4 linked regions of the Drosophila melanogaster genome follow. The protein of the gene in region 4 purifies or fractionates together with the protein of the main gene of each other region. This does not show direct contact. Each region holds a gene or a part of one and is shown on either strand. Other genes may lie near its edges.

What was found.
Region 1: the proteins of Mlc-c (region 4) and CG12691 purify together in Drosophila melanogaster (affinity purification with mass spectrometry, with the first as the bait; one large-scale study listed by BioGRID). This does not show direct contact.
Region 2: the proteins of Mlc-c (region 4) and CtsL3 purify together in Drosophila melanogaster (affinity purification with mass spectrometry, with the first as the bait; one large-scale study listed by BioGRID). This does not show direct contact.
Region 3: the proteins of Mlc-c (region 4) and CG10194 purify together in Drosophila melanogaster (affinity purification with mass spectrometry, with the first as the bait; one large-scale study listed by BioGRID). This does not show direct contact.

What each region holds. Positions count from the first base shown.
Region 1 is NC_004354.4:4,262,946-4,269,907, forward strand, and holds CG12691 (uncharacterized protein), read left to right. Parts: upstream 1-3,151; 5' UTR 3,152-3,214; coding exon 3,215-3,667; 3' UTR 3,668-3,724; downstream 3,725-6,962. Other genes in the region: CG15572 (uncharacterized protein), read left to right, coding at 6,086-6,962.
Region 2 is NT_033777.3:6,023,836-6,031,636, reverse strand, and holds CtsL3 (cathepsin L3), read left to right. Parts: upstream 1-4,398; 5' UTR 4,399-4,434; coding exon 4,435-5,445; 3' UTR 5,446-5,811; downstream 5,812-7,801.
Region 3 is NT_033779.5:19,486,832-19,494,859, reverse strand, and holds CG10194 (uncharacterized protein), read left to right. Parts: upstream 1-4,755; 5' UTR 4,756-4,788; coding exon 4,789-4,881; intron 4,882-4,940; coding exon 4,941-5,155; intron 5,156-5,217; coding exon 5,218-5,560; intron 5,561-5,647; coding exon 5,648-6,052; 3' UTR 6,053-6,178; downstream 6,179-8,028. Other genes in the region: swm (second mitotic wave missing), read right to left, coding at 1-303, 362-827, 903-961; Ctu2 (cytosolic thiouridylase subunit 2), read left to right, coding at 1,967-3,184; CG18094 (uncharacterized protein), read right to left, coding at 3,231-4,226, 4,288-4,374; CG13083 (uncharacterized protein), read right to left, coding at 6,329-6,425, 6,483-7,336.
Region 4 is NC_004354.4:5,617,054-5,624,936, reverse strand, and holds Mlc-c (myosin light chain cytoplasmic), read left to right. Parts: upstream 1-4,361; 5' UTR 4,362-4,409; coding exon 4,410-4,458; intron 4,459-4,650; coding exon 4,651-5,063; 3' UTR 5,064-5,801; downstream 5,802-7,883. Other genes in the region: POP1 ribonuclease P/MRP subunit, read right to left, coding at 1-462, 530-2,213; RhoGAP5A (Rho GTPase activating protein at 5A), read left to right, coding at 6,260-6,371, 6,457-7,079, 7,151-7,628, 7,711-7,816, 7,881-7,883.

The sequences.
Region 1 (6,962 bases), 1.4 Mb from region 4:
GCATTTTGCGTCGAATTATAGGCAATTCGGCACGGAATCTCCGCACACGCGATACGCATTACACACACATGTGCGCGCGCCTTGAGTGCGTGAGTGCTAATCTGGCCCGCCAATAACTGCAAATTAGATTAGCAACGCCTCGAGGGTGGAGCTGGACTCGAACTCGCCGCTCTCTCCTCTCCCCTCAACTGACCGCCCATATATATCCATATCGACATGCAGCCAACAATCCAGCAACTCGAACATCGCGTGTGGCGTTGATAAATCTCGACCAGCAAGAGGACAAGGCGAAACCCCAATGACCAATGCCCAATCCAGAATCCCCGATCCCCACTCAATCCAATCCCAATACAGTCCCCCGGATGCCAATATATATTACGACAGGGGGACCCTGACTGGCCATTTGTTTGGCATCCCATCGCGAGACGAAACTAATAAAAATCATAAAAAGTTTTCCGCTTAGCGTTCCCATTAAGATGCCTGCCCCCTCGAAGATTGTTATTATTATTAGTATTATTTGAGTGTGCCTCAGCTCTGTCCTTGGCTCACTTTCACTTTCACTCTCACTTCTTTCACACGCACTTTCACCTACCCGCGCGATAATGTTGCCACACTGAAAATTAACTTAACTACTTACTAAAGAAGAAAGGCAATTCGGGACGAGCTTTAGGAGCCAACTTTGGGATCGTTTTCACTGGCGAAAACTTGCCGGATGGCGAATAGTATGCGTCACGTTTACGATTCGCTTGTTTTTACAAATATTTACCCACTTACATCACACTCTTACATATTTTGCTTGGTAAAGAAAATTTTGTGGGAAAATTATGTGCGCTCATAAGCTTTAATCGTCCTAAAAAAGGTGGCAAATAGCTGGCAAGAGCGATTCAAAATATGAAAAGAAGCTAGTAGAGTGGAATAGGGATTATCAAAAGATAGTTTTAAACTACAATAATTCTGAACTAAGACATTAAATGCATAAAAGAAATAGTTATGTTACGCTAAGTGGTAAGATAGGCCAACTTCGATGTTATCCTTATCGGGGGGAGAAAATTACCTCCAACAGTCGCCCTTACATCGATAACTCACTGTACTCTTTATTGCCCGTCGCTTTTGAATGGCAAAACTTCCGCTGGTGATGGCGTCGAATGGAATTGCTGACGCCAGTGACGCCGCTTTACCAATGGACAATGTCCAGTTGCCATATAGTACGTAGTACATAGCATATGGGCACATGGCACATGGCACTTATTCACCGACCAGCGGGTAAATGACGCCCAGTCACTTATTCGCATCGCTGGCCAGAAGGAAAAGAGGGCGTAGCGGTATGGGGCCGCTAATCGTAAAATAAATTATTTTCCATGTGTGCGCTGCTCGCCTGATTTCGAGTCATAATTCTTGCATCACTCCTCTCCCCCAAATGGAGCATAAAAGTTTCAGTTAATTGCATGAGTGAGGAGTGCACTGCGAAAAATGCTTGATAATGTGGTAACTGAATATTATCTCTAACAATCCAAACTATTTAACACTAAACTACTATTAAACTCTAAATTGTCTTATTCCATATTACAATTCTTATTTATCTTCGCGATTGAAGTAGTAACGAAGTGCGTGATTTGTTTCCGTGTGATATGATGAGATTTTTGTGGGGGGATAAACTTTTCCAGCCACAACTGGCTGGCTTTAATTGTTACTAGTCGCATTTGGAGCCCGGCCTAATCACTGGCGCCGGATTAGTCAAACTTGCAGCCACTGGACGTGGGTGGTTGGGTGGTTGGGTGGCTGGTTGGCTGGTTGGCTGGTTGGCTCGTTCGGTCGGATGTTGGATGGTTGGGTAGTAGTTGAGTGGTGTCCAAGTGCTGAAATGTGTAGCGCTTGCCAACGCTGTCAGTCATAATTAACACTCAGCTGCAGCTCCAGCTCCAGCTTTGAGTTCAGTTTTAGCTTTGGAGTCGGAGTTTGAATGGGTGGAAAATAATATGAAACCGAAATGGATGTGAAACAAAAGTTAGCTTCGTTCCAACTGCTCAAAGTTGCTAATCAAGCTTGACAGCTGCTAAGGGGAATATGGAGATGGTGATTGGGTTCCAGTATAAGCCAGTCATGTACAGATGCACTGAGAAATATATTTATATATATATCAAATTATTGGCATGTGAAGAGTTCAATTTATAAATTATAAAACCAAAAGTTACATACAAAATTTTAATTATATATATATGAAAGCATTTAAAACTTAATGCCAGCTTAACCAAGCTTCACTGTGTATCTCGTACCTGCTGCCGACAGCTTTCGCAGCATTCGATGGTGTAATTAAGAATGCAACGCACTTTGAGATACATAGCGCTGGTGAACAGCGGTTTTGCGGATGGTAAACTCATTAGCCACCCCTCGCGGCCAGATAAATGCGATTTTGCAATCGCGGAGATTTCAATCGGGTTGTGGTTATTGTGTTATGCCTCGCGTGCCCAACCATCCAATCCATATCCAGCCATCCATTTCACTAAAAATGTTCTGCTATCTTAAATTCCGAGCGACACGTGCCAGACACAACTACAATAACAACAAATTACACTAACAATGTTGCGAAGGGCGCTGCACAACCCCCCTCCCCCACCCCCTCCGGATGCCATGCAAATTTGAAGCGCCTGTCGCAGTTCCTTCTTTGTGTCTATGGCGTCATCGGCTCTACTTGGAGTCCCCCGCATTTGTACTTGATTACCCATACACATACACTTTCCCCCAGCATCCGCATCCGCATCCGCAGCAGGAGCAGCAGTAGCAACTTTAACTGTAAATCGATATTCAGACTGTCTGCCTGTCTGCCCCCTGCCAACAATCTTATCCTGCCCACCAAACTCTGACTAACTTACTGTCTCGACGCCAAAGTCGGTGGTTGCGACTTAAAGATACTTGATGCCTATGCTTATTAGTATGGAAACTCTACTCACAGTTCAGTAGTGGAAATGTGGAATATTTAGGGTTTAACGCTAAGTATGCATTTTAATGAATATTTTTGCAATTTACAATAAATAGCAAACAAAGTTCTATTTACCCAAGAGTTCTCTCTGTAATTAAAAATGCGACTCTAAAGTTAAGCTTTCCATTACTTCTCTGATAAGAAAGATTGATATAGCAGTCGTAGATTTATCTGTCACATCAACAGTTACATATTTTAGGCAGGAACTGTCTCCGCACAGAGCCCACAGATCGCAGGATGTTGCACAGCAGCTACAATCGCGCACCGCGCCGCAAACTCATTCCGAATTTGTTTAGCAACATCCTACAGGTGATCGCCGATGCCGACCATCCGCTCACCGAACCCGAGATCATGGACGCGGTCGCCGATCGGTTGGATCGCAGCGACGAGGAGCTGAAGCGCCAGATCACAGTAAGCCTCCACGACGCCCTAATCTACGGCTATCTGCGAGTGAAGAACTATCGTTACTCGATAGTGCCCAGTCGCCTGGATCCGGACGAACATCGCGATCATAACGAGCCCAGTTCCTCCATCACCGCCGCCCCGGAACATAGTCGGCTGCAGGAGAGGATCTCGAGTGGAACCAGTGCTGCCATGGTTGACAACCAGGGTCGCGATGAAGAACTCACACCAAAAAGCACTCAGGCGCTAAAGAGGTTAAATGCTGAGCCGCAAGGGCAAACTAATTGATAGAAGAAAATTTCAAATGTAAACTTTTAATAAATTGAATTAAAATCAAATAAAACCAACTTAAGTGAATATAATTACACATTAAGTGCTAGTATAATGTATATAAGACAGATTTCTTTCTGAGCTAAATCCATTTGAGACTATAAAGAACACAGTAACGAGCAAATCAACTTACTGTAGGTAATAATTCCTGCGAGTAATCCCCAATTAGTTTCGCAGATCCTTTGGCAGGTAAGATAAGCCCACACACGACGCAGGATGGCCGCTTGGCCTGATGGCCTGATGGTCGGTGCGGTCCGCAAAGTCCACTCCTTCCAGCTGATCGACGTGCGGCGAAGGCAATCCCTGAATCCCAGGCGACTTGTGTGTCAGCTGCATTGGGGCCCCACTGCCTCCCCTCGACCGGTTGCCAGCAGCTAAACGGGCTAATTGAAATGCAACTCGAAGGCAGAGTGGCCGATGTCCAAGACTCCACCCGACCCCTCTGAGGTGTGATGCTGGCATTTGAGAGCCTTGAGCTTGCGGTCATATCAACAAGGATACGTTGACTAAGACGGGCGACCTCAATCGCGTCCTTTGTGTTTGATGTGGTGTCAGCTTCGGGCGCAAATCATTTACTTTCGCCTGTCCCACCTGCAGTATATACCAATGTATATATGTATGTGCAGTACATATGTGTGAATGCTTCATTTCGGTTTGATTAGCGATGGCAAAAATAGACTCTAATAGATAAAATATATCATTATCTAACAGTATTATATGTGATTTTAGTGATAACCGCTTTAGCTTTTTCAAATCTATGTTGAAAATCTATCTTATCAGCGTGCATTGCTGTTTCGCCATCCCTAGCAGAATGTGCGAAGCTATTAGTTCCTCACTGAATAAGCGATTGTGTGCGGGCAACTGTTTGAGTTCACTGATTGTTGCGACACCGACTAGCATTTAAAGGGTCCAAACAGAATGCGGCCATGGTCCGTGCCATCCCCATTAATTCCACACCCTCGAGGGAGGCGGAAGTCACTGCGCTTGGGGTTTAGTCACGCTTATGTCCTTGGCCTTACGTCTCCGTCCCACACACACATCCCCCCTCCCCCCCTCCTCATTTGTGATAATACCTGTTTGGTCTTTGGGAGCTCGGAGCTTCAAGAGGTCCTAGGTACCTAGCACCGACTACGTTGTTTTCACGCCCGTTGAACGGGGCAAGCGAGCGTGAGGCGAGCACATTACAATGATGCAGCACCACCAACTCTTTCTCCACAGCCAACCAAACCCCCCCCCCCCCCCCCACCAATCACTAGGGCAACTCATTTAGTATCTTGTGTGTGTGTGTGTGTGTGTGCAGAATACTGCGCACTCTGGACCCAGTGTTTAGTCCAGTCAACTGGCTTTACTCAGCTAAATTAGATTTTGTGGTGCGTAATTTGAAAATTGTGAAATTACCCAACACTGCGGAGTCGAGTCAAAATGGAGAAGTGACGCGGCACATTAACACCCAACCATGCCAACTGCGTTTTCTTTGAGGGTCGCTCACTAATGTCGGATTATCCGCTTTGAGCCTTTTTAAGAGCACCCAAAAACACACGAAATTAGTGCAATCCAATTGCCAGAGCCCCAAAATGGGAAAGAGCAACCCTTGAGCAAGATTGGCCATAATTCAAGAACAAAATCCAATTCTTGTGATTTTCGCACCTCATCACAATGTCTAAAAACAGGCCCGGGGCGCTCCCCTTATTCGTTTGCTTAACGCATAACTTTTGGGCCCTCGGTGGCATATTGTTTTACATGTTGCTCCTTTGGATAAACGGATTCGGCTTGTTTTGGCCTGCGGAAAAGTCGTCCTTTTTGGGTCGAAAGCGACCCAAGCGAAAAACTGGAACCCAAAAATTGTTATGTTGTTGAGGTTTTCCGTTTATTCCATTATTTATGTACTGCACACGCTTAGGCTAAGGCCTTTCCTTTGTTTGGGAACAGAAGTAGTACAACATATTTTTTAGAAAGTAATATTAACAAATAAATTCATTAGCAAGCACAGTAGGCAGCGATTTTACCGTCTACGTTACTTGACGTAGGGCCTTTTCTAGGTATACATAACACATACACCCTCCATTCGATCGGCAAAATTTATCTTTCGGCAACATACTAAAAACTGTTGTAAATTATCGTATCTGTATCGTGTTCTTCTGTTGGATTATTGGTCCCAAGTGTGTAGACGACTGCCCGTTCTCCGGTTTTCCTCCAGACCGTAATAAGATAACCGCAGAAAAGTCCAACGAAGCAGCTCAACAAAAATTCTAAATATAATACCGAGAATAATCATCAACCATCAAATACATCAGTCCACTAGCCGAATTAGCAAGCACTGTCCTGTAACCAGCATACCACGCCTTTGGGAATATCTATTGTGACAGAGGACGAGCAATGGAGGATTTGCATTTAAAACTCGGCGATCTGCCCCAGGAAGTATTGGCTGCACGGCACAGCATGATTATGGGCCAAAAGTTGGCTGGATCACTTGGTGAGACACAGCATCACCTTCAGCATCAACATCACCTGAATCACCAACTGAACCAGCTCAATCAGTTGAGCCACTTGAATCAGTTCCATCAGTTAAACCAATTGAATCAATTGAGTCAGCTACACCAGCATATACAACATAAGATCTCTTCGGGGATGAACCTAAATTTGGATCTGGACCATAAGATGGAGACGGAGATGGAGTTGGGTCTGGGCCTTGATGTGGATGTGAATCTGGGAGTTAATCTGGACATGAATCCGGAGGGCAGTATTACCAATAGTACCAGCCGTACCAGCAGTGCTAGCAGGACCAGCAGCACCAACACGTGCAGCGATCAGGGGCAAGGACATGGATCTGGGATTGGACTTGGTGACCCAAAGCGGGACCAAAGCCAAGTCCACTACGCCCATGACCCTGCCCAGGATAATGGCGATTCACCGAATGTCAAGAGTTGTACTGGAATGTGCAGCCATCAAACAGAGAGCAATATGAATAAGGGGGATTCCCTAACGCATACCAAGTCTTCATCGCCGAAGACGGACAAGGGGGAGAAGGATAAGGAGGAGCTTAAAGCGAAGGAGGAGGAGGAGGAGGAGTTTAAAGAGGATACGGAGGATAAGAAGGATAACGAGGACGTTTTCCAGAAACAGGAACCGTCTTCTTCCATGTTGATTAAGGCGGCCAACTCCAAGCTAAATGTCAATGCCACTGTTTACACGATGCCAGCCAAAGTAGAACCCCTTCATGACGGATCATTCGTGCCCCAACCGAGTTCCAGTG
Region 2 (7,801 bases), on a different chromosome or scaffold from region 4:
CCTCTGGTTTGCACTGAAAGAAATGCTGATTGCTTTTAAATTAAAGATAAAACACTGGACTGTAGCTCTGTTAACATGACATTCAAATTTGTTCACTTATATTTCATGGTGGCTCTGACTGTTATGGCATTATAATGATGCTTTTCTATTCTTATCCCAGCTTCAGATCTAGAGGAATACCAGTCACTCAGAAAGAAATTTAAAATTCTTTTGAAACATCAATAGAAATTGGAATGCAAATAATACTCGACTAACGGAATGCTAGACGGATCAATAAAAAACGAGTCTAGACAGCCTTTTCAATCTAAGAATATATCCAGAGGGTATATCCAGATATTGCCTTAAAGTGCCATTTTTTACAGTGTTACTTCGAGAGCAGTGGCCACGCACTGTCGCAAAAACAAATGCAATCGGCGGTACCCACATATGCCCCACCTTCCCATTCCATTGCGTATCCCATCCAGTCTCGTACCCCGGAATACAGATTTAATAGAAGGAGCTTAGACGTGCTGGGGCCTCCGAGGGGAATTGGGTAGCAGGCGAGGGGAGCATGTGGGTAGTTAAGCTGATTTCGGTACATTTGTCTACTGTGCCACAAAAGTTAATTAGAAGAGCATGAATCTTTTACTGATCAAAACAGGCACATATGGTTGGTATAAATTGTAGCAGACAGTACTTCTTTGGTTTTGTTATGTATATCAGAACAAATAAAATCTGAACATAATAATTAGTAAAATTAACGGGATCCTTTCGGTTGCTCATTTGACGTCAAAGAGTTAGAAGCAAAATTTCTATCAAACCCATTTTAATTAAGATGTACAATTAAATGTGCGGTTGTCAATTTAAAAATCACCAATACCTTAGGGTCTGTTGGTAATTGAGAAACTCAATTAAGTGACGTAATTAGAACAGTGTCAAATTCACAGCAACTTAAATTGAAAAACAAAAACAAACCAAATTTAGCTTAAAGTAGATGGCAGATGGCCACTGCTCAAGACATTCAAATGAAATTCATGGGAAATCCTTAAGTTACTTTATTTCTAAGCTCACACTCGCTCAATTGAATTCTGCTTAATTTATACAATTGCATACATGTTTGTGAATTTTTGTTTGCCTTAACATAAATCTTAACAAAGCTAACAGCAATGCCAACAACAAATGCTGCTAACCATTTGTCAATTTTAAATACATTTATTGTATTTGCATGCCTGTCTAGTCCCCACACAGCGAAAGAAAGGCAACAATAATTTAATAACCCACAAAGCGACAGACACACACACGCAAAAATACACACAAACAAATGGACAGACAGACATTCGAGCCAAGTTGCCTTGTTGGCCAACTGCTGTGTCTATGTATTATTCAAATTCAATTATAAAAATGCAATAAATAAAAAAATGCTTATATGCAAAGGAGATAAGAGAGTTAAAGTCGAATAAAGAGAGAAAATTTCACTTGAATATCGAATACTCTGTGGACCATCTTGCAAATAGTAGCGTTGATTACTTTATTACTTGATACTTTACTTGAATAAAATATTTACCCTATACGAAATATTTATTTGTACATTTAATTTACTTTAAAATGGAACTTAAATGGTAAAAAAATAAGTATATGTACGTGTACTTAATATTTTATAAATTTTAAGCACTGGCTAAAAACTTATACACTCTGGTAAAAAAAAAACTGTCAGTTCATTTACTTCTTAAACATCGACTGTTCCACTATTCCCGATAAATTTGACATACCCTTTTTGGGTGGACCCAAAAACGTGCGGCAAATAGCCAGAGAAGCAAAACCGAAAAGGGAATATTTATTATTTGAAAAATACCTTGAGGCCGTGGCAAACGTCGTAAGTTCATAAATAACATGCGGTCCGAAAATGGACAAAATCAAGCGAAAAGTGCAGAGGGCGGCAAACAGAGTTTGATAAGCGATAAGGAGCGGATCCCAGAGGCAGCCATACAAATAATAATATTAGCAATAATAGTAATCAATGTGTAGTGTAAATAATAAATAACAACGGCTCGGTGGGACCCAGAAACGCCAATAAATTGATGAAAGATGATGGGTCGTCGGCCAGGACGGATGGCAGTTCGCTCCTCGACGTCGGATGGCCCCTGAGCGATTAGCCCCGGCACGCAACAGCCCTGAAGAGTGCTTACAAAGGTCAAAGGGAAGCTCGAGTACAAACACACTCGGCGAGAGATAGAAAGGAAGCATAAACAACATAAATTTATTTGCTGTTAGCCTAATGTTATTTATACCTTTCAATTACAATAACAGCGGGACCAGGATCCGGGCCAGTGGGTCGGTGTGTCGTTCTGTCTCTTTCAGAGTAAATAATAAACCATGACCCATCAGCAATCAGCCAGAAAAGAGGACCCCTCCCCCTGCCCCTGCCCCTGCCCCTGCAGCGCACTATCAACCATAATGCGTGCGCATAAATAACTGGGCCATCCCCCGCGAAAGGTGTGAATATTAAGCCAGTGGCAGCGCCAGTGCCCCAAAAATTTACGGTTGCCCGTAAAAGTTCCGCTCCAGTCATAACTCAAATTCATGCCTCCCAGGGGAAAGGGCTAGGCCGCGCTGCCTGCGCATTTGATTTGGCGCCCAACGCGGGGCCAAGAAACACCCGACAAATGAGGCAGCCAACCGCAGCATTATAATTCGCCAAATCTAGGGATGCAAAGCGACATTAGCGCCGTCTCCTGGCAAGATTCTCATCCCCGAAACCTGGTAGATTAATCATTCGGAACACCCTTTTGCGGCGGTCAAAGCCGGCTAAACGGCTTACCCTAAACTTTAAAGATGTTTCGGAATTAATCCTCTAACGGCCTCATATCAGCATGCTTCTAATCGACCTTAACGGGCTAACTCAATTTAAAGCTTCGGTAAGACAGGGCAATACCAGTTTCGCAATACTAGTCATGGAAATACTAGAATGGAAAATTATTTGAAAAAGGAACAAGATAGTTTCTTAAGGGTATGGGAGACATTTATGGTTAGATTACAGGATATTGGGGAAGGGTTGCCACCCCACACATGTTGTTCGCAATTTCGAGCCAGCTTAAAGTAGCCGCTTTCTCCCCATTCGGTTCCATAGGAGTTCTTTATTATCCAGTAGTCGCCCCATTTCGGATGTGTTTCAAAGCCAACTAAAAGAACAGAGTGTTTGAGATCGTAGTTGGTATTTCTACACGAAGGAGTCCTCAAGATGCCACCAAAGTATTGATCGAATTCCTCGTGCAGGTGGTCAATGGACACCTCCACGGGTCCAATTTTGTAGACCACCTTCGCCAATTCCCTTTCATCGTTGCTGGTTAGTGTAACGTATTCCCGCAAGGTGCCTGTACTTTTTCTGCGGTCCCAGCGACACTCTCCATTTTCGGGCTTGTAGGGATAGGACTCTTTGGAGGCAATGCCATAATCCCTCTTGAAGTTAAAGGCCACACTCACCCAACCAGCGTTGCAGCCCTGGTTTGGATAGGGAAAGCAGTCCACCAAGTGCTTGGGCGAAAGGTCACCAACTTTCCGTACTTCTTCGCCAGATGCGCCTCAAGAACACCCGAGGTGGAGAAGGCCCAGGAGCTCAGGCACTCGGTGCCCTGGTTCCCCACTGGCGATATATAGCTGGTTCAAGCCCATCCTGAATCCCGATCTGCCCTGGGAATAGAGTCCGTTGTGATTGGCAACCGCCTGCACTCTCTTTTCGAGTATTCGCCGGTGGTATCGGTCCTCTAGGCCGTAACGCTTCTTGTATCTGGCCTTGTACCGCGCCCACTCCACATCGCTCACCGAGGTCAGTCCGAACTCCACGAAGAGCAGATTGAAAAGTACTTGAAGTACCAGCAACCGAAGGGAGATCATGCCCAATGCAGACTTACAACTGATTGGCAGCTTGAAAAGCACGAGATATGGAGCTGGACGGATGGTTTTTCCATCTTAACTGCTTATAATTTAAATCGATGGAATCGACTATCCGCTACCCTTTACTTAACTATTGCGTGATTCTTGATTAGTTCATATGAGTATATTTATATTATAAAGTTTTTTTTGATGGTCTGATACTTTTAAAATAATATATTAAACAAATTCATTTTGATTACAATGTTTGAAAATGTATTTTATATAGATAAATTTTCAGTAAGTAAACTTAGCAAGCATTATAGCTAATATAATTATAGCTATTAGAAGTAACTTACAACCAGCCTATAACCAGAAACCATATAAATAAATAATATAATTTTATACATAAGCAAAATATTGCATTTTAATCGTAATCTTTTCCAATTTCCCAAAACCAATAAGCAGTTCACATAAATAACCCCAGATAATGCATTCGCAGCCGCCAGGCAAACATAAAGCTCTTGATTTCTAGTTTTTCCAGCTCAAAATCATTTACAAATCTACTTTAAACGCGATCAGTTCGCAATGGGCACGCCTCGTCTGACCGTAGTACACGGTCTAATCCTTCTGCTCCTTGTGGAGCTAGGTTTGACTGCGGTCAGCGATACGGAGTGGGACCAGTACAAGGCTAAGTACAACAAGCAGTACAGGAACAGGGACAAATACCACCGGGCGCTATACGAACAGAGGGTCCTGGCGGTGGAAAGCCACAACCAGCTCTATTTGCAGGGAAAGGTTGCATTCAAGATGGGACTAAACAAGTTCTCCGACACAGATCAGAGAATCCTCTTCAATTATCGCTCGTCGATCCCAGCGCCGCTGGAGACGAGTACCAATGCACTTACGGAGACTGTAAACTACAAGAGGTACGACCAGATCACCGAAGGAATCGACTGGCGGCAGTACGGCTATATATCGCCAGTGGGAGACCAGGGCACCGAGTGCCTGAGCTGCTGGGCCTTCTCCACCTCGGGTGTTCTTGAGGCACATATGGCGAAGAAGTATGGAAATCTGGTTCCCCTTTCACCCAAGCACTTGGTGGACTGTGTTCCCTATCCGAATAACGGCTGCAGCGGTGGTTGGGTGAGCGTGGCCTTTAACTACACCAGGGACCATGGCATCGCCACAAAGGAATCCTATCCGTACGAGCCTGTATCAGGAGAATGCCTGTGGAAAAGCGACAGAAGTGCAGGCACATTGTCGGGCTACGTCACTCTCGGCAACTACGATGAACGGGAACTGGCGGAGGTGGTCTACAACATTGGACCCGTGGCGGTGTCCATTGACCATCTCCACGAGGAATTCGATCAGTACTCCGGTGGAGTCCTCAGTATTCCGGCGTGCAGATCTAAGAGACAGGACCTTACACACTCCGTTCTTTTAGTCGGCTTTGGAACCCATCGGAAGTGGGGAGACTACTGGATAATAAAGAACTCCTATGGAACCGATTGGGGAGAAAGTGGCTACTTAAAGCTAGCTCGGAACGCCAACAACATGTGTGGAGTGGCATCACTTCCCCAATATCCCACTTTTTGAATAAAATCGTAGAGAAATATGATGTCAGTAGGATCATATCTCCCAGTTGAAATAAACGTATTTTATATCGCTTTTGCATTAATGTTTATTCACATTAGCTAAAATTGTAGATTACATAATCATAAGGGTTTCTCGGAAGGGTCAGCACGTCAAATGCGCTTACTGAGAAGCATTTCTACCAAGAAAGCCCAGAGTTTAAGGACTCTGTCAGAGCAACTTGCCTCTTAGATGAAAACGAAAGTTTAACAAAACGAAAGCTTGCTTCGCCAAGCCGAAGCTTTATTTACCCTTTCGACTACTTATTAAAATAATTCTGTATACCGTACAAATAACCGAATAAAAACAAAGTATCATTCTATTATCTTCAATTAACTTTGAAATTATTTGTTGTCAAAAAACTAAAATGAATTATATATAATGAAAGTACTTTTTTGTCATAATATTCCGATGTACATGTCCGATATACTTATTATATACATACTTCCTGCAGTAGAAACAACACTTTGATTGACTTATCCAGATAACTTAACAACTTCATGACTAGCTTGCTTAGATACGGACGGACGAATAAAAGGAGAGACCTGGCTAAATCGTCTTGGCTGTTTATACTTATCCAAAATATATATATGTACTTTATATGATCGCAAACGTTTCCCTTCCCCGTTGCAAGCTTCTGACGGAAATCAATATACCCCCTCCTACAATGGTATATTAATGGGTGAGTGTTCTATTGAAAATCGAACTGAATTCTTATCGCAAATTAATGGCATTGCACTTGCAGTTCCTCGAAGTCAATGTAGATAAGCCCTCTGAACATAATTAAATGGAATATGTGTCTATTTTATATAAGTGTGTTTTGTTTGTATTATATAGGTAGGTATTATTATGCTTTGAACTGGATGGATTATAGCGAAGGTATGAGAATGAAAAGGAACATTCCATAATGTGTTGGCAGGCCTGTTTTATAACCAAACTGTAGGGAAGTAAAGCTTTGATGTAATTACAGATTAGTCAATTCTAAATTTGTCACTAATTGTGGAGTGGGCCCACAAATGCTCCAAAGCCTTCTGACCATTTATTTGTGACTCATTGGTCGAGGAAGGACAGCTGATTGAGCAGCGGATACGTCTGGACAATTGATAAAATGTGTTAAACGCGCAGCAGTGATTGACAAATGACGTCCAGCTTTGTGCATTAGCACGTGTCCAGGACGAGGCAAAATACACCACTCGTACACAGAGAGAAATGCTTTAGAAAGTAAGTTAGTATACTTAATTAGTATAGTGGCTTTAGAGCTGTAAGCATATATATATTATATGTATCACAATTCGTAGCTATTTATAATGGAAAAATATATATATTATATAATTCCACAAAAACCATTAACATTTTTTCCCTGTGCAGCTGAGAATGGGATTGCCAGGTGACTCGAGGCAGCCAGCCAACAAATTGAATTTATGGCCAGGTCTAAGCGTTCAGGGTGTCAGCCTGGTTAGGTCTGATTCATTTGCCAGATATAGCATATAGCCGGGTGAATCGTAGTGTCGGGTGTTGGGTGTAGGTTGTTGGGTGTTCAGGGCTCGGGTGTCGGATGACTGGAGAAGGGGTTCCGGGGGCTGCTGCTCAAGTGCTGCTTTTAATTTCCGACTCAAGCAGTTGGCGATTTGCCGGCCCTGCGGCCTACAAACAATTTCAAGCAATTTGCCTAAAAGTGGGCAACGAAGTGGGCGGAGCAATGGATGGGCTGCCCGAGTTACCACCCCACCCCCTAAACCCCCACGCCTCTAAACAAATCATCGGACACTCAACCGGGAAGACGGCAACTGGAACACCGCATCCGGCCGAATGCTGACATTCCGGCCGAATGCTGACATTACACAAAAGTCGCACTGCAACATTGTCCCCAGCTAGCCAGCCACATGCCGAGTCGGCATGTTCATTATGCTTACAATTAAGAACCTATGTACTTATGTATAAGACGAAAACGGAGGACTCGAGTAGCCACTCTCTGACAATAAACTTCATACTGATTTTGAACTTCAAGAAAGTCAGTCGTATTCTTTATTGGAAATCTTCACACTACAACTATCTGCTGAAACTTAAAAACCTTCATACATTTACACATCATATCTTCACAAAAGGCTCCACCCTCGATCACGGACTTAACTGGCGCAGCCGGTAGGATGTCCTACCTATTAATAATTACCTACCTGTAAGTAAACATGTAAGAAACGAAACAAACTATATGCAAGATGTCGACTGAAAGTGACTAGGAACAAATTTTTATAAAACAAAATTGAAGTTGTGAAGTACCAAATGAAACTCAAACATATATTCAAACACAGGAAAAAAAAAG
Region 3 (8,028 bases), on a different chromosome or scaffold from region 4:
TTGTCGTTGAGTTTTCTCGCGTTCGTTCACCCGTCGGTCGCGTGACCTGGACCGCCGAAAAGCGCGCTCGTTAGAACGCGATCGAGAGCGGGAACGGGATCGCAGGGAAGCACGTCGTCGTCGACTGTCGCGCGGCTGGTTTTCCTTGTCAGCATAACCCGCCGCAAGACCTGCTCCGCCGGGACCACCTCCTCCACTTCCGCTGACGCCGCTGCTTCTGCCCGGTGGGCTGGCACTGCGCACATGATGGTGTTGGTAGTTGGAGGCTGACTGTTGATTGTGGGAGTCTTTGGTTTTATGCTGCTGGATAAATTAGAAATATAAACAAAACAGCTAAGGCGAAGCTACCACTAAAACTCACATCAAAGGCTGGCTTGGCATCTGTAGGGACGTGCATGGCAATGCCGGCTTCCTGGCTGATAAAAGCTAGGGCCTCAGCTTCCCTGGCATCTTGACTGGCCTGCTCTAACTTGACCTGATTGCTATCGGGTTTTATCACATTATCTTTAGGAGGCGGTGGAGGGGAATCGGCAACCAAAACCGCTTCGATGTCGTCCTGGGGCCCATCAATGACCAGGGCCAGTTCCTGGTCGACTGTTAGCTCAGCGGTGGATGCACTAGAGGCTGTTATTAGAGGGGCAGCAGGGACCGTCAGGTATTCCTCGCTGGCAATGGCATCGAAGAGGCGTTCAACGAAACGTGTCGTCTCCTCGGACAGGAAAACATCGAGCTGTTCGATCATGATCCGCTTAAGGTCTTTATCCGATTTGTCCTTCTTGAGCAGCGCGATGACATATCGCGCCAAGGCCGAGGAGTCCGCATCGCAGCTGTAAGTGGGAGGGTGGTATGTGACGGGGTTAGTTCCAGGGATAGCGATGAAATAGCGGCTTTCAAGAACTTACAGTGGCTCCAGGACCACGCTCAGCCAATCCTTGAGCTTGTCCGAATTCTCCAGAATCATGCTAAGGCGGGTTGTTTCTACTGCTTGCTGCTGCTGCTGTTGTTTTTGTTTTTTGGTTGGGGGCTTCTTGCGTTGGTCTGCGCTAATCTGGGTGGGGGGTTAATCGTGCTCGGGGGGCAAACACGCCCGAAAAATTATTTTTAAGATGACCTCTGTCGCTCTGGCGACTGTGCTCCTGCGATTTGGGTGAACTTCTTACTTCCTGTTACCGCCGTTGCTTCTGCTTTTAATCTCTGAAATTGGATTTCGGCGTTTATTTTACTTTTTGTCGTACTTTTTCCTTCCTTCTTTTAATTGCTTCTTCTTCCCATCTGCTATCGTCAATAAGAAAGTTTCTCGATTTTGCTACCCGATACTTTTTGCTTGCGTACAAGCACGACGCACACACACAGCGCGCACAAACACACAGGCACGCAGAACTCACATACATACGTATTAGCAGCACCCAGTTTTTTGCGCCCAAATTTCTTGGGTTTTTCGAGCCCATTTTTCAACACAAACTCCAAAGACACATACCTCAATGCTTAAATTTAACTTATTATTAAGATTTGTACAACAAATTGTGGTTTGAACAGCTATTTTTATATTTTTCACTGCACTTTTCCTGTTGCAAGGTTGCTTTTGACGAGTCTAGGCTGCGTAGTCGATATATTGCCAGGTATATCGATAGCCTTCGATAACGGAATGCCCTCGAAACAGTGTTGACAGCTATAGACTATACCGTAGCTAAAGGTAATATATGAGTTTAAAATATAAGTTAAAGGTTTACGCTTTTTTAAATTATATTGGATATATTATATTCGATATTATATTATAAGAAAGCGCTAGCTTGCCGTCTAATTTTGACACTAAATATAGATAATCTATATAGATAGATTATAGATAGAAGACATTTGTCTAGAATTCCGCTATTTTGTATCCATTCATTTCACAACGTATTCATCCCTGGTCATTTCGTTTATCTGCGAAATTCTTTTTGTTGTGGATTAGACGTAAATTATTGCCATGTGCAGCATTGGTGAAGATGATTTTGGAGACGAGGGTGCCGCCCACGCCATGGTAGTGGAATCCCTACCATTAGGAATCGTCCTCAGTCCAGGGAATTGCAGCAAATGCGATGTAAACTCCGGCGAGCTCTACAAACTCAACTTCCGAACTGCGGAGTGCCGGGAATGCTTTCTAGCGTATGCGAGGCACAAGTTTCGGGCAGCTCTGGGAGCCGCCAAGATTCTGCCCAGAAACGCCGAGGTGCTTCTTGTCCTGGACGGGTCCGCAGAGTCGCTCGTTCTGCTCGACATGTTGCACTTCGCGCAAACACAGAACACGTTTAAAAGACTCCATTGCAACGCACGTGTGGTCTACGTGGAGGAGCAGCAAGTGCAAGGTCGCGATCCTGTGGACTTGGAAGCTCTGCAGAGATTATCAACACAATACGCACCCTTCGATTTCTATGTGATTGAACTGGGCGCCTTGCCCAGCTCCTTGCAGCGGATCAAGGATTATAGTCCTTTCCTCAACGCAAACAATGAGCTTATCCACAAGCTTCAAAAACTGCGAAGTCTGACAGCTCGCCAGGATTACCTCCAGCAACAGCGCAAGAACCTCATCTGCTCCGTGGCTCAGTGTCTGCAATGTACTCACGTCTTTGAATCTAATATAAGTGTTGACTTAGCCACCCAGCTGCTGACTGCAATAGCGCTAGGTCGTGGCGGTAGTGCCGCCTTGGATGTGGCTCTCCTCGACGATCGGCTGTCTGGAGATGTTAAGCTGCTGCGACCTCTCAAGGACCTAACTGAGCAGGAGATTCAATTTTACATACATGCACAGCGTCTAAAGCCACATTTTCAAAAAGGCTCACGTTATGGGATGGAGCATGGTGAGACTGCCAGCTTACAGAACCTTACATCAGCCTTTGTGGCCAATCTGCAGCAAAACTTCGCCTCCACAGTATCCACAGTGTTCCGAACTGGCGACAAAATAGCTGTCAATTCCAATCCAGAGCAGTCCTCTTGTGTTCACTGTCGATCTACACTGGACTCCGAACTATCCGACACTCTGCTGGCTATTGAGTACTCCAGATCTGTTTCAGAGGCCGGCGTGAGCCTGTACAAAAGCGGACAAGATCTCGAGGGCTTGGCCAAGAAGCGATTGGAGAACAAGGACGGTTTGTGCCACGCATGCCGCGCCATACAGACCGAGTTGGATAGTGGTAACTTGTTGTAGCGCAAGAGGAAATATATATATTTTCTATTAAAACTATATTCTTTTACTACAACTTGGCTAGCTTGTTATTGACAAGAGGCTGCAGTGGCAGATGCCCATCGCAGGGCGGTATATTGGAGGCCAGTACGACCTTGTGGAAGTCGTAGACGATATAGCGATTGTATTGCTTGGACTTTCGATGAAGGTCGTCCACCGATCCCGACAAGATAATTGTTTGTGTACAAGCGCCTGGTTCTTTGGGATAGAGCTCATCACCAGGAAGAACTCCAAACATGCAGTCATCGCAGCGATAGTAGACGGGCTGCACCATTGTGCTTCCATTGCAGCTCCTTTGGCGGGAGAAGTTGAGAAGCTCCTGAAAGCTATAGAAGTTCATCAGACGAGCGATGTCATAGAGCAGCATGAACGGGAGCCAAATAATGGCTTTCTGTGAGCTCGACCAAGCCTCGATCGGACTCAACCAGTGGGCCGAAGCCACCTCGTGCGGTTCCAGAAGCAGCTTTATATTCCTGGTGTACTTATCTAACATGGTGATATAATAAACAGTGTCATATTTCCGATTGGCAGTGGCTGCTGTCCTCCAAATGGACCATTCCTGAAGAGACCAGATATTGGGAATGACTTTATAATGCCGAAAGAGTTCCAGAAACTGTGAGGCATCATTGTGAACCCGATGTTGCCATTCGAAGTGTTCGCTTGACTCGAGAAGCACGGTTCTAGGATGACCCGATTTAGAATCCCATTTTTGTATGTCGTCCTGTTCTGTGCAAATCAAGATGCCCACCTCTTCAAAGGTTTCCCTGAGCGCAGTCAGTCGCAGTGCAATGTCCCTTGAAATATGGTCTCCACCGGATAGAAACTCAGGCCTTGGAGAATCCTGATTGTGCCTACACATTTTTAATTGTTCATCGGTCACCCCAAAGGATTTGAAAAAAGTTATCCATTTCGCAGATTGATCTTCTATAGGATCGAAGACGCCGCCAGGAAAGACGCAATGGTTCAATGCATAGGAAGTTTTTTCAGTTCGTTTAATCAACAATAACTTTAATAAAAGACAATCAGTCAGCAAACGTTTAGAGCTTATAATCTTATACTTAACATACTCTGTAGTCGTAGTCCTCTAAAGAATCCTCTTTGGCGGCTACAATAAGGCTAGCCGAAGGTCTATAAGTTCCAGTTTTAGTAGTCATTATAGTCAATAATCCATTTAATTTCCAAATCCACTTTTTCAAACCTTTGATCTTTGGTCTCAAAGCAATAAGAGCTTGTTGTTAATGCTTTAACGCATTAGTCAAAAGACTCGACCCTCGGATACCTCTGACATTAGGTGAGGGAATGAATTAAAATCCTATATTTCATTGACTTCAGTGATAGAATGTGAAATTTAAATAAGTACTCACATTAATAAATAAACCTAGAAATATTTTATTGGCTTAATAAAATAATTTACTTAAATTAATTTCAGAAGTTCTTTTAATTATAAACTACCCCACCCCACCATCTGACTACAACAGGTGGTGGGTATTTCAAAAGTGTAAACAAAATCAGCTGGTGAGCAATCGATATTACCACCCACTCTATCGATATCGCTGTGTTACCTAAATATGTCGAGGCTTTTGCCCAAAATTCGCTCCTCCTCAAGTTTAATCCTTCTGGCTAAGAACCAAGTTGAAAAGTCCACGTCGTGTGATTACAATGTGAGTTGCAGCTTAACGTTAACTTAGCTTCACCATTCTGACGTAATCTATTCGTCTAGGCCCTCCTCCTTACACGCACGCAGAAGTCCACTTTCATGCCGGAGTCATCCGTGTTTCCTGGCGGAGTTTGCGATGCCTCGGACAGTTCGCCTGCCTGGTTGGAACACTTTCAGAGAAACGAGTTCAGTGCCGCTAAGCTGCGGAACGTGGGCCACGTGAAGGGTCCACGTCCGGATATTTTCCACACCAAGGCAGATAAGAAATCGCTGGATCCGTATGCAACTCAAATAGGTTTTTAGGAAATTGGTGATGTAACATTATTTTCGCACCTAACAGATCCCTAGCTCTGCGGCTGACTGCCATACGAGAAACCTTCGAGGAGTTGGGTATCCTGCTGTGCAGGGACAGCAAATCATTGACCTCCACTAGCGATTATGGAGCGTTCTATGACCAGTTTGACCGCGCCCACTGGCAGCACATCGTCCACAACAATGCCAGCCAGTTCCTGGAGCTCTGCAAGCAGCTGGATGTGCTTCCAGATGTCTGGTCACTTCACGAGTGGTCTGTCTGGCGCACGCCGTCCACGTTTAAGAAGCGCTTCGAGACGGCCTTCTTTATGACTGCCCTGGAACAGGAACCCAGGGTTCACATCGAACCTAATGAGGTCAAGGATTCTGCGGTAGGTGGGTGGGATATTATACGGCACAAGAGCGATACGCGAAACCTTTAAGTTGCATTTAATGTACTATCATTTATATTATTGTAGTGGCGTTCCCCATTGGACTACCTTCAAGCGAGCCTAAGAAAAGAACTCTGGCTGCCGCCTCCACAATTCTATGAACTTTCGCGCTGCCTAAACTTCTCCTCTTTAGATAACCTGCGTCAGTTTGCAGCAGAGCGTGAGGTCAAAGGCATTCAGCTGATTCATCCTGTAGTGCACAAGTGTACAAATGGATTAGTGCATCTCTTGCCAGGAGATGATGCTTACCCCGCCGATCCGGATGCAAGTAACGAAAAAATTGAGATCGATTTGTCAGTCGAGGAATTCCGTTCGAAGACGAATGCTAAATTACATCGATCGGAGCACTGGAACCAGCATCAGTCGCAGCTGATAATTAAGTTTGAGCGGGATGATGGTCAGGTTCATCCATTGGATCCAACAAAATTATAGAGGTAGAGCCGGTTTCCTCTATGTCAGGTGCATTTATCTAGTTTTATAAGTTTTCCAACAATTGATATATAAAGTTGGACATAACACTTTTTAGCAATATACAACTTATAAAGTTCGATTTCCTCCATTTACTCTTGTTTATTACATTGTGTTACAGAACGGTTTAATATACAATTATATAAGATAGATAGAATCGACATGCTGGGATTTGATATAGGAAATCAAGCAATTTCTGAATATGGCATAAAACATCTATCTTCAGTTTTCGTATTAATGCTACTGGCCCTTTCCATACCAAAGTTTGTATAGGTATTCAGCCTCTTCTTGGGATGCATAGACGTTCTCGTATCCTTGATTGCCCTCTGGTTTTGGCCTTAAAATGAAAAGAGTGGTTTTAGTGTGCACCCAGAAGTAGGGCATACAAACTTACTTGTAAATTGGTGCGTGTTCCGGGTGAGTCCAGATCTCGTGGGGCTTCTGGTGTGACGGATTTTTGTGCTTGCAGCCATCCAGCGTCCTTTCAATGTTCTTCTGATTGTTCAGTAGGGCAGCCAGTTTATGATCGACCTGTGAGGTGGCCACCTGCACTCCATGGACAGTGTGCTCGATGCTGTTGAGGCTCTCGGACTGAGTGCGGTTGAGAATGACCAGACCCCACTCCAATTGATTGACTTTGCGATTGGCACGATCTGCCAGAGCCTTAAGTTCGCCCAGATATCCCACTTGACCCACGATGTTGCGCTGCTGCTCCTGGAGGACCTTCGCTTTATTGTCCAAGCCGATGAGTTCCCCTATGACGGCCTGTGATAGCAGCTGCTGAATCTCCGACAGATGCGAGTTGACGGATGAGGCCACTTCATTTAGGTTCTGCTCGTATTTGTTCTGATTGGCAGCCACTTGTTCCAGGGCTTTCCTGATTTCTAGCTCCACTTTGGTAAGATTCCTAATAGAGTTTTCATTCTGACCCTGGATTGCGTTAACAATGGCTGTCAAATTTCCCACTCCAGAGGCCGTGGCTTGGAAGCTGCTTTGAACGTTCGATTCCAGCTTGGCTATGGCAACCTCCAATCCAGCAATGAGTTCGATCTCGTCGCGCTGATGCTTGAACTTCTCTTCAATGCCCTTCTGCACGTCCTTCACTTTCTGCAGCCCATGGTTTAGCTCCTCCGTACCTTTGATCAGCTCCTCCACCTCACTGCGGATCTCATGGATGGAGTCCAGATCCTCAGCTGCAGCCGCGCATAGGTAAATGCATATCGTTAGCAAAGTCAGTCGCACTCTCATGGTGTTTCTCTGATGGCCGCTCCCCGCTGAGTGTCTCTTTTCGATCCGAACCGCAACTTAAGTAGCCCAACTTAAGGTCCAAAACGTGTCTTAGACTGGGTTAAGTTCTATCAGTTCGGTCACCACCCACTTCTCTTCAGCGGGTGCAGGTGCAAATGCTGCTCCAATCTGTAATAGTGTGTTTACGAGAATTTCCCTACTACTAAGAAGATAGTCGCGAACAACTGTTTTATCATCTTGTAAAAAGAAAGAACTAAAGCGAATTATGTTGCATGTAGTCGTACTAAATAGTTATTGGTTCATCGACATCTTGGTAAAGTTAGGGAAAATCCGTGTAGTGTCACGTTTCAAAATTCTTCTTTGTTTCTAAACAGAACAGATTGACCCGGTTTTTTGTGTGCTACGGTAGTAATAACACCACTGAAAAACGTGCCCCAGCTGCTTCTTGTTCAAATTCATTCAGAAAATAGGTCTTCGAAGGTAATGATAACGTAACAAATGTTTTCGGGCATACTGTCTATCGTTTACAAGAAATAAAGTAATAAAGCGAACTAAAGTAATTTTGTAAAAGTTTAATAAGTCTATATTTTGTTTCCTATTTCGAAAACAGCAGTATAATTAATTATCCTTCATATTATCATGCCTATTCAAAAATTGGCCAAGATGCCTTTTGCAAATTTAAACAAACTTGG
Region 4 (7,883 bases):
TGTGACTCTGGCGTAGCTCCTTGCGCAACTGTTCATTCAGGTCCGGTTGCGTTGGCTCCACGTGAACGGGGGCCTGGTCGTTGTGCTTTAGCTGTCGCCAGCGCTTCTTGTGATCCGCCGCCGTGGGCAAGCAAATCAGGGCGTTGTCCTTCACATGGCCACGGGATAGCAATTGAAGTTGAATCTGTATGATGGCGTCGTCGGGCAGAGTCTGTGGCAGTGGGCTACGATGTCGAATACTCTCGACAATCTCCTCCAGCTGCTGGCGATGCCGCAGCACATAGAACGATGATCCCTCGCTCGCAGAACTGAATGATGCACGCCAGTCGCGCACTAGATGCCTCCAGGGTGCAGTAAACGGACTGACCACGGCCAACTTTCGGTAATTGGTACGCTTATTGGGCGGCATACGGAAATACCGGGCACGGAGCTCATCCGCCGAAGCAGCAGCTCTTTGAACTCCTAAACAGATGCAAAGTGAGATGATTAAGGGAATATAGAATACGCCAGAGTATAAAACACTTTTTACCCGCTAATGTATCTGGCAGATGTATTTCGGCACCTGCCTCCCTAGCCACCGAATCCAGTTCCCTCAATCCGCCGGGTCTGGCGCCCCACATGGTGAGTGTTAGCCAGAGGGTCATGCCGTATCCTGCCGGTGCAATCACATCCCAGCCGCAGCCGTAGCCCAATCTCTTGTATCTGGGGTCCTGAGATCCTGGTCTTTGAATAAGTATCACGGGAAGCGCCTGCATTTGCTGTTCGAAGGCACATGGAGCTCCTGGCACAACGGCATGTTGTTCTCGCAGCTGGTCGTACTTGTGCGCGGACATAATGCCTTTGGCCAGCCGCTCTCTCGCCTTCTTGCTCCACAGAGGACTCTCCGGCAGACTCTTTGGCTGATTCATGAGAAGATCGCCGGCGGATAATGGTGGCTGTTCCATTTTGCCGACTGCTTTCGTACGCTTCTTGGGCCGCTGCAGGCGCGGATCCACTACAAGGTGGGCCATCACCAGATTGGACAGCAGTTCGGCGGGCGAGCTCAGCTGCAAGGCTGCCTGACAGTAGTTGGCTTTATCCTGGAGCTCCTCTTCTCGATGCGGACGTAAGCTGGCAAAAAGAACTTTTTGGGCTCTAGGCCCTGTCAAACGGAAACGATTAAACTCCCGCTGCAGCAGTACCAAGTGGAGAGTGCCGTCGGAATTGAAGTAGCTAGGCTGTGGATCGAATGCTTTCGTTTTTGTCCAGAAGCGCAGGGGCCTCTGTTCAGGCTTCTTCTTCGAGTTTTTCTTGCCAGGCGATGTTTCCTTGGACAACTCGACTGGCTCAATCTTATCCACATCCATCTTTTCCTCAGTCACAGCCTCGTTTAAAGGCAGCTTTTGTTGCCTTGTGGATTTCAGCTGGAACACGCTTATAAGCTGATTTAGAACAGCTTGAGCGCCACTGGGATGTAGCCACAGCCAGAGCGTGTGATTCGTCTGTTTCTCATCCTCCTCCTCCCGCCGTGGCCGCCACATAAAACTGGCCCGCTGCAGGGCTCCATACGGATAGCGGCCATCCTCAAATAACTCCACGCTGCCCTCACGTCGTCCGCTCAGAAAAGTCCGGGCCGTGATCCCAAGGCCACACTGCGGACTTGTTAGCCGGGCGAATCCCTCGCGTAGCATGTCCAAGGGTCCCCGCAACTCCACGCAACCATAGAACGAGATGTCCTGCAGCAGGCAGTGCTCGGCGCTGGCGCGATAGCAAGCGCGGTAGGTCTTGTCGCAGCTGGCGTAGGGCAACCGGTGGCCCCAGCGGTCAACCATGTGGAATCGCTTCGCGTGCCAGATGTGCGTCTCCAGCCAGACGTGCCGCCTCTGCCGGCGCACGTACTCACGCATCAGATTCTTGGGTCTCCGGCGGTACTTCCTCGATGGTCGTTTCCCATTCACCGGCTGGTTGCCGCTTTTGCCCATTTGGGACTTGTGCGCCTGTCGGTACTTGCGCGGCAGTCGCTTGGGATGGTGCGACATGGCGCGGCGGCGCATGTGCTTGGGCAGCGTCTGGAAGATTAGCTTGCTGCTCCGCTGCGTCGTCTCCTGGCAGTCGGCCACCAAATTGCGAATCTCCTGCAGCGCCTCGGCCGCATAATGGTACGTGGTCACGTGCGACGGCAGTGTGACCCGGCCGCCCAACGCAGCGTCGTACTCCACCTTCTGTGTGCTCATCGGGGACTAACTAATTTGGCCAGGATCCAATGCATCCAAAATCAAAACAAATCGGCGGCACGTGTGGCGGTTTCTTGTGAAACGATCTGGCAGCACTGCTCGATTTCACTAAACTCCCTGCACTCATCGATGTTGTCGCACCTATCGAATTTCGAGTGGCCTATCGATTGCGCCCACTATCGGCGACCACTAACACCAACAACGTTTCAGAATTTGCTTGCGTTTTGTTTCGACGTCGAATTCAATATTCAATATTTCGTGTATTTTGTGTTGTTTTCCCTCAGATAGCTAAAAACAAATCGATATGGTGAGTGCAGGCTGTTTATTGCGGCGCTGTTTACTGTTTACGATCGCACTGGAAGTGCGCTTTCCGGCGCCTTTGGAAGCCAGCACTCAAGTTTCCTTCATTGTTTTCCTTTCTTTCCCCTCTCTCTCTCCCCGCAGGCAGCTTATACCGAGGATCAGTTGGCTGGTGAGTTGAATCGCACGAGGACCAGACGGGGTCAAGTACCAGGAGTCAAAAGTCGGGCAAATCGCATATATATATATATACAGATATATATATGTGTATAGTATTGATATGTGCGCTGGCACCTAGCGCCCTCTCCCTCCCACTCCCACACAGCATTGGAATGCGGGAAAGCGATGGCACGTACATTTGTGTGGTGTGCATGAATCATTGATAAAGCAAATACGCTGGAAGGCAGACGGCAGCCATACGAATACGATCGTGACTCACCTAAAAAGCGGCGAGAAAGTCCCAAAACCGAAACACTGCAATACCCTGTCCAAAATGCTTTAATTAAGAGCAGCTGTAGGCAAAGTTTGACGTGATGACTTCGAAAGACATCCGAGATCAAGCTGACAACACATATCGAAACTGTGCTACTTTTGGGCTTTGATCAGCAGATTATGTTCGTCCAAGGAATAGCTTCATAGAATAGCGACACACGGCTGTGTACCAAGTTTCGCATTAATATCTCTTGATAAATCCGAGTTCTTTCGGTTATCCGAAACCCACACCAAGTTAATTGATAATATGCATAGCAGGCAACAAACTTATTCGACCATCAGCTAGTTAGTTTCTGCCAACAAGCTAGTGCTAGTCTTAAGCTAGTGTAAACCAAGTTTGTAGGTCATCATAAGAGCAGTTATTGTAAGACAGAAACTGGTCGCTTATAATCATAACCAACACCTCGGTATGAGTACAAAAAAAAAAAAAAAACACTGTTTAAGCGAAAGGAAGTGAGCGATAAAATATAGATAACAGAGCGGTCTAATGGGATAATCACCCGGTTTTCTGACTCGCCGGCTGCTCGTTTCAAATAAAACTGCAATTGCAGTTGCAAAAACCGAATAGCCATGCGATAAGAAGCCAGTCAGTTGACAAAAAAAAAAAAAACCAGCTTCCATTTACGGAACATCACCTTCTCTCTAAGTAAAAATGCAACACGATTTCGATTCCATGGCGAATCAAATCGAATCGAATCTTTACGCAATCCCCTCGTTTAACCTAATCAAAGTCAATGGTCTCTGATAATTCCGTCATGCTGGATTCGTGACACTCTGACGTCAGCGTTCAACCGCATATGCCTATGTACGAGCCATATACCATATATTTATTTTCCAATTCCAACTTACCTTGTTGCAATCTTTAGCCAGCCGTCGACGTTTTGTCATTGCCTAAAATGGACAAAAATGTGCTGGATTCGTTTGTTTTTATTGCCATTTTTGGATCTCGTATTCGCATGATAACCGAACACATCCCAGCAATTCATCGAATGGTGAACACTCTAGTGCTCAGATCTTTAGAGGATCTGAAAACAAAATATTGAGCCCAACCACAATGTTCTATTTACGCACGTAGATCGCAGAACTTTTGCAGCTTGGTTAACTTACACCATCACTTGCTTAAATCCAACTGCACGCGAAATGGACTTGCGATGTCACGCCTCGAAACGAAAAACTTTGAAACTTAGGATTTCTGGGTTGTTTATCTTACTTGCAAGCAGGCAGTTCCCGGTAGAGAAACGAAGTTTGCCAGCGACGTGAGGGTATACCATGGCCAAGGAAGGCGGAGTGGTGGCTTGCATCGGAGCCGATCCGATCCGCTTCGATCCGATGGCCAGCCAAATCCGGGCAGGCGGAGTTTCAGGCAGTCAGTAGCTGGCAAAACGGTCATCGGAGTGGTTCAATATGTATTACTATACGGCGCATGTGAAGCAAACCTTTACCACACTGGAAGGTGATCCATTTAGCCATTTAGTGGGTGGTAGAAAGCTATAGTTCCCCCTCACATTTCCATACGTTTATATGTAGTAGTTATGTAGGTATTATATATTATATCCCTTATCGAAGGGTTCTTGTAAGTTGTAACGATAATAATTAAGATTTGTAAAGCATCTGCCAACAATCAGCACGCACTTTCCATTCGCAGAATTCCAGGAGGCCTTCAACCTGTTCGACAACCGCGGAGATGGCAAAATTCAGCTGAGCCAGGTGGGCGAGTGTCTGAGGGCCCTGGGCCAGAACCCCACCGAGTCGGATGTCAAGAAGTGCACCCACCAGCTGAAGCCCGACGAGCGCATCTCGTTCGAGGTGTTCCTGCCCATCTATCAGGCGATCTCCAAGGCCCGCTCGGGCGATACGGCTGATGATTTCATCGAAGGACTGCGTCACTTCGACAAGGACGCCAGCGGTTATATCTCCTCCGCCGAGCTGCGCCACCTGCTGACCACGCTGGGCGAGAAGCTCACCGACGAGGAGGTCGAGCAGCTGCTGGCCAACATGGAGGACCAGCAGGGCAACATCAACTACGAGGAGTTCGTGCGCATGGTCATGAGCGGTTAGGATCAGACCGATTCTAGCTGTTCAACTGTCCAGCGACACGACAATAGAAGCAACGCTATATCCAACACAATACAACACACCAACACTAAACACACCTGCCAAGCTACACATAGATGAGCCGTTCATTCCGCCAGAAGTTCCAACTCCGTGATTCCAACTTAGCCATTCTTACCCCGGCATTAAAGCATTCAAAACCAAGGACAACGACCAAGGATATCGAGATATAACAAATACAGGGGAAAGTGCTTAACACAAGCAGCTAATAACTGAAAACTAAAAACTAAAACTACGAGATTGGAGCTATTCCCACTTCCAAAATTAACCAACGATGTAGACATAGATTCATGATTAACCATAACTAATTACCGCGTCTGTGAATGTGCGTATTATTCTAAAATTGACACTAGAAGGTTAATCAGTAATTATCAACTAGTGCAGTCGTTCTTTTGTACCAATCACACTCGATACATTTATATATATATATATATGAATTACCATAGTATACTTCAATGGAAGGAAGGAAAGCCAGAGTATCACGAAAAAGTATTTCTAAATTAAAGCTGATATGCGTCGGTGGCGTGTGTCCGTATTTAAATGCGCATTTTGAAGTTTTACATGTTTATTTTTTTTTAAATAATTTAATATTTGTATTTAATAAATAATGAAATGAGATCCAATGAATGTGTAGGTCTTTTTACAAAAGAAACGTACTTAAACTATTAAACCAATTGAAACCTTAGCTCTTGTTTTTATTTCTTGTTGAAAGCGGATGGCAATCAAATAAATGGCTGCTTAAAATTACGACTGATGCAAATTTTTGAAATATTTAGGAAACTTAACTGAAATTAAGCAAATTGTTTGTGGTATTTTTTGCGAGCTCTTGTGCTCTGAGCTTTCGGACATTTTTAAACTGATTATTAAGTGAGAACCACTGCATACTACAGTATTTACAAAACAATATAATGTAGTTTAGCTATCAATAAATTCAATAAGCTTACTATAAAGTTTATCTAAAGTTATAGTCATTTAAATTTAGTATTCTTCCGACTTTAATACCGCGCTAATTTTCGCCAGTCTGGCAGCTCTGCTCGCTCGGACAAAATTATTTGTATACTTTACTTAATTGGCTGCATTCCTTAATTATTCGCCGCCTACTTAGTGGCTTTTGACCAAGTGGCCTGCTAATCCGAGGGAGGATGCCCCGGAACACGGAGGCGGGCGCCGGAAATGCGAATACCGGTGGATCCGGCGGAGTAGGCGGTGCCCCCGAGCCCAGTTCTCCGGTTCAGAAGGTTTGGAAGCCGGAATGTGAGTGGAGAAGCACCTCGTATGCCACCCACAAGCTTATGATATGACTAACCATCCCCTTACCCATTTACCCGCCCACGCACAGTGTACAAACTGCAGCTGGAGGCACCGGCTCCATGTCCACTGCGCTGCCAGCGAACACTGCCCCTTCCGCCGGCGAAAAGCACGGCTGAGGCCGTGGAGGCCAATAACTTGGCGGGCAGGCTATACGGCTCCGAGTACCATGGCCTGATGGGCCACCTGGAGGCGGAGCAGCTGCTGGCCAATGCCCGCGACGGCAGCTACTTTGTACGCCGGAGCCCCCAATCCGATGGCTACTACACGCTTAGCCTGCGCTTCAACAAGCGACCCAAGCACTACAAGCTCCTCTATAAGCCCGGCGTGGGACACTATCTGCGCGGCCAGGACAAGCGCTTCGACACGGTGCACGACATGGTCGCCGACGGGCTGATCAACTTTCACATGCAGCTCCACGCCAGTCCCATCATCCAGCAGATTAACCAGCAGACCAAGAACTGCTACCAGCAAAGCCCATACATGACCTTAAATGGCCGGAAACTTAGGGCTCTGTCCAATGAGCTGGGCAAGGCCGCCGCCAAGGAATCGAAGGAATCGCCAGCCGAGGAGAAGGAGCAGAAGCAGGAGGAGCCACCGCCTCCAGCCGTGGATCCCATGCCGCTGGTCTACGAGAAGCCGCATCACTTCAAGGTGTGTGTTCAGACATAAGAAGCCAACTATAAAGGATCATAGCATCTAATGGAAGATTCTGATCCAAACAGGTGCACACGTTTAAGGGGCTCAATTGGTGCGAGTTCTGCGCCAACTTCTTGTGGGGATTCACCGCCCAGGGCGTCAAGTGTGAGGCGTGCGGCTTTGTGGCGCACAGCAAGTGCTCCGAACTGGTGCCGCCCAAGTGTGTGCCGGATCTGAAGCGCATACGCGGCGTATTTGGCACGGATCTGACCACGATGGTGCAGCTGGAGCCCCACCACCAGATACCCTTCGTGGTGCGCCGCTGCGTGGAGGAGGTGGAGGCCCGGGGCATGCTGCAGGAGGGTATCTATCGGGTCTCCGGCTTTGCCGATGAGATCGAGGCACTCAAACTCGCCCTGGATCGCGAGGGCGAGAAGACGGACATGTCGGAGACGGCGTATGGCAATGTGAATGTGATCGCCGGCACACTGAAGCTCTACCTGCGCCTACTGCCCGTGCCGCTCATCACATTCCAGGCGTATCCCAGCTTTATGGCAGCAGGACGTGAGTTTTATGGTGCTATGCTGCACCTCATCCCATGCCATTCACATCTATCTATCTCTCTATCTATTTTGATCTGTTGCAGGCACCGGCAAGCAGGCCGAGCAGCGCCAGCTCATGGCGGAGGCAGTGCGTCGCCTGCCGCCCGCCCACCACAGCTGTCTGCAGTACATGCTGGAGCACCTGAAGCGGTGAGTGTGACTGCCAGCATGGTCAATGCGATCTTAAGTAAAAAAAAAAACCTTCTGCCCGCAGGGT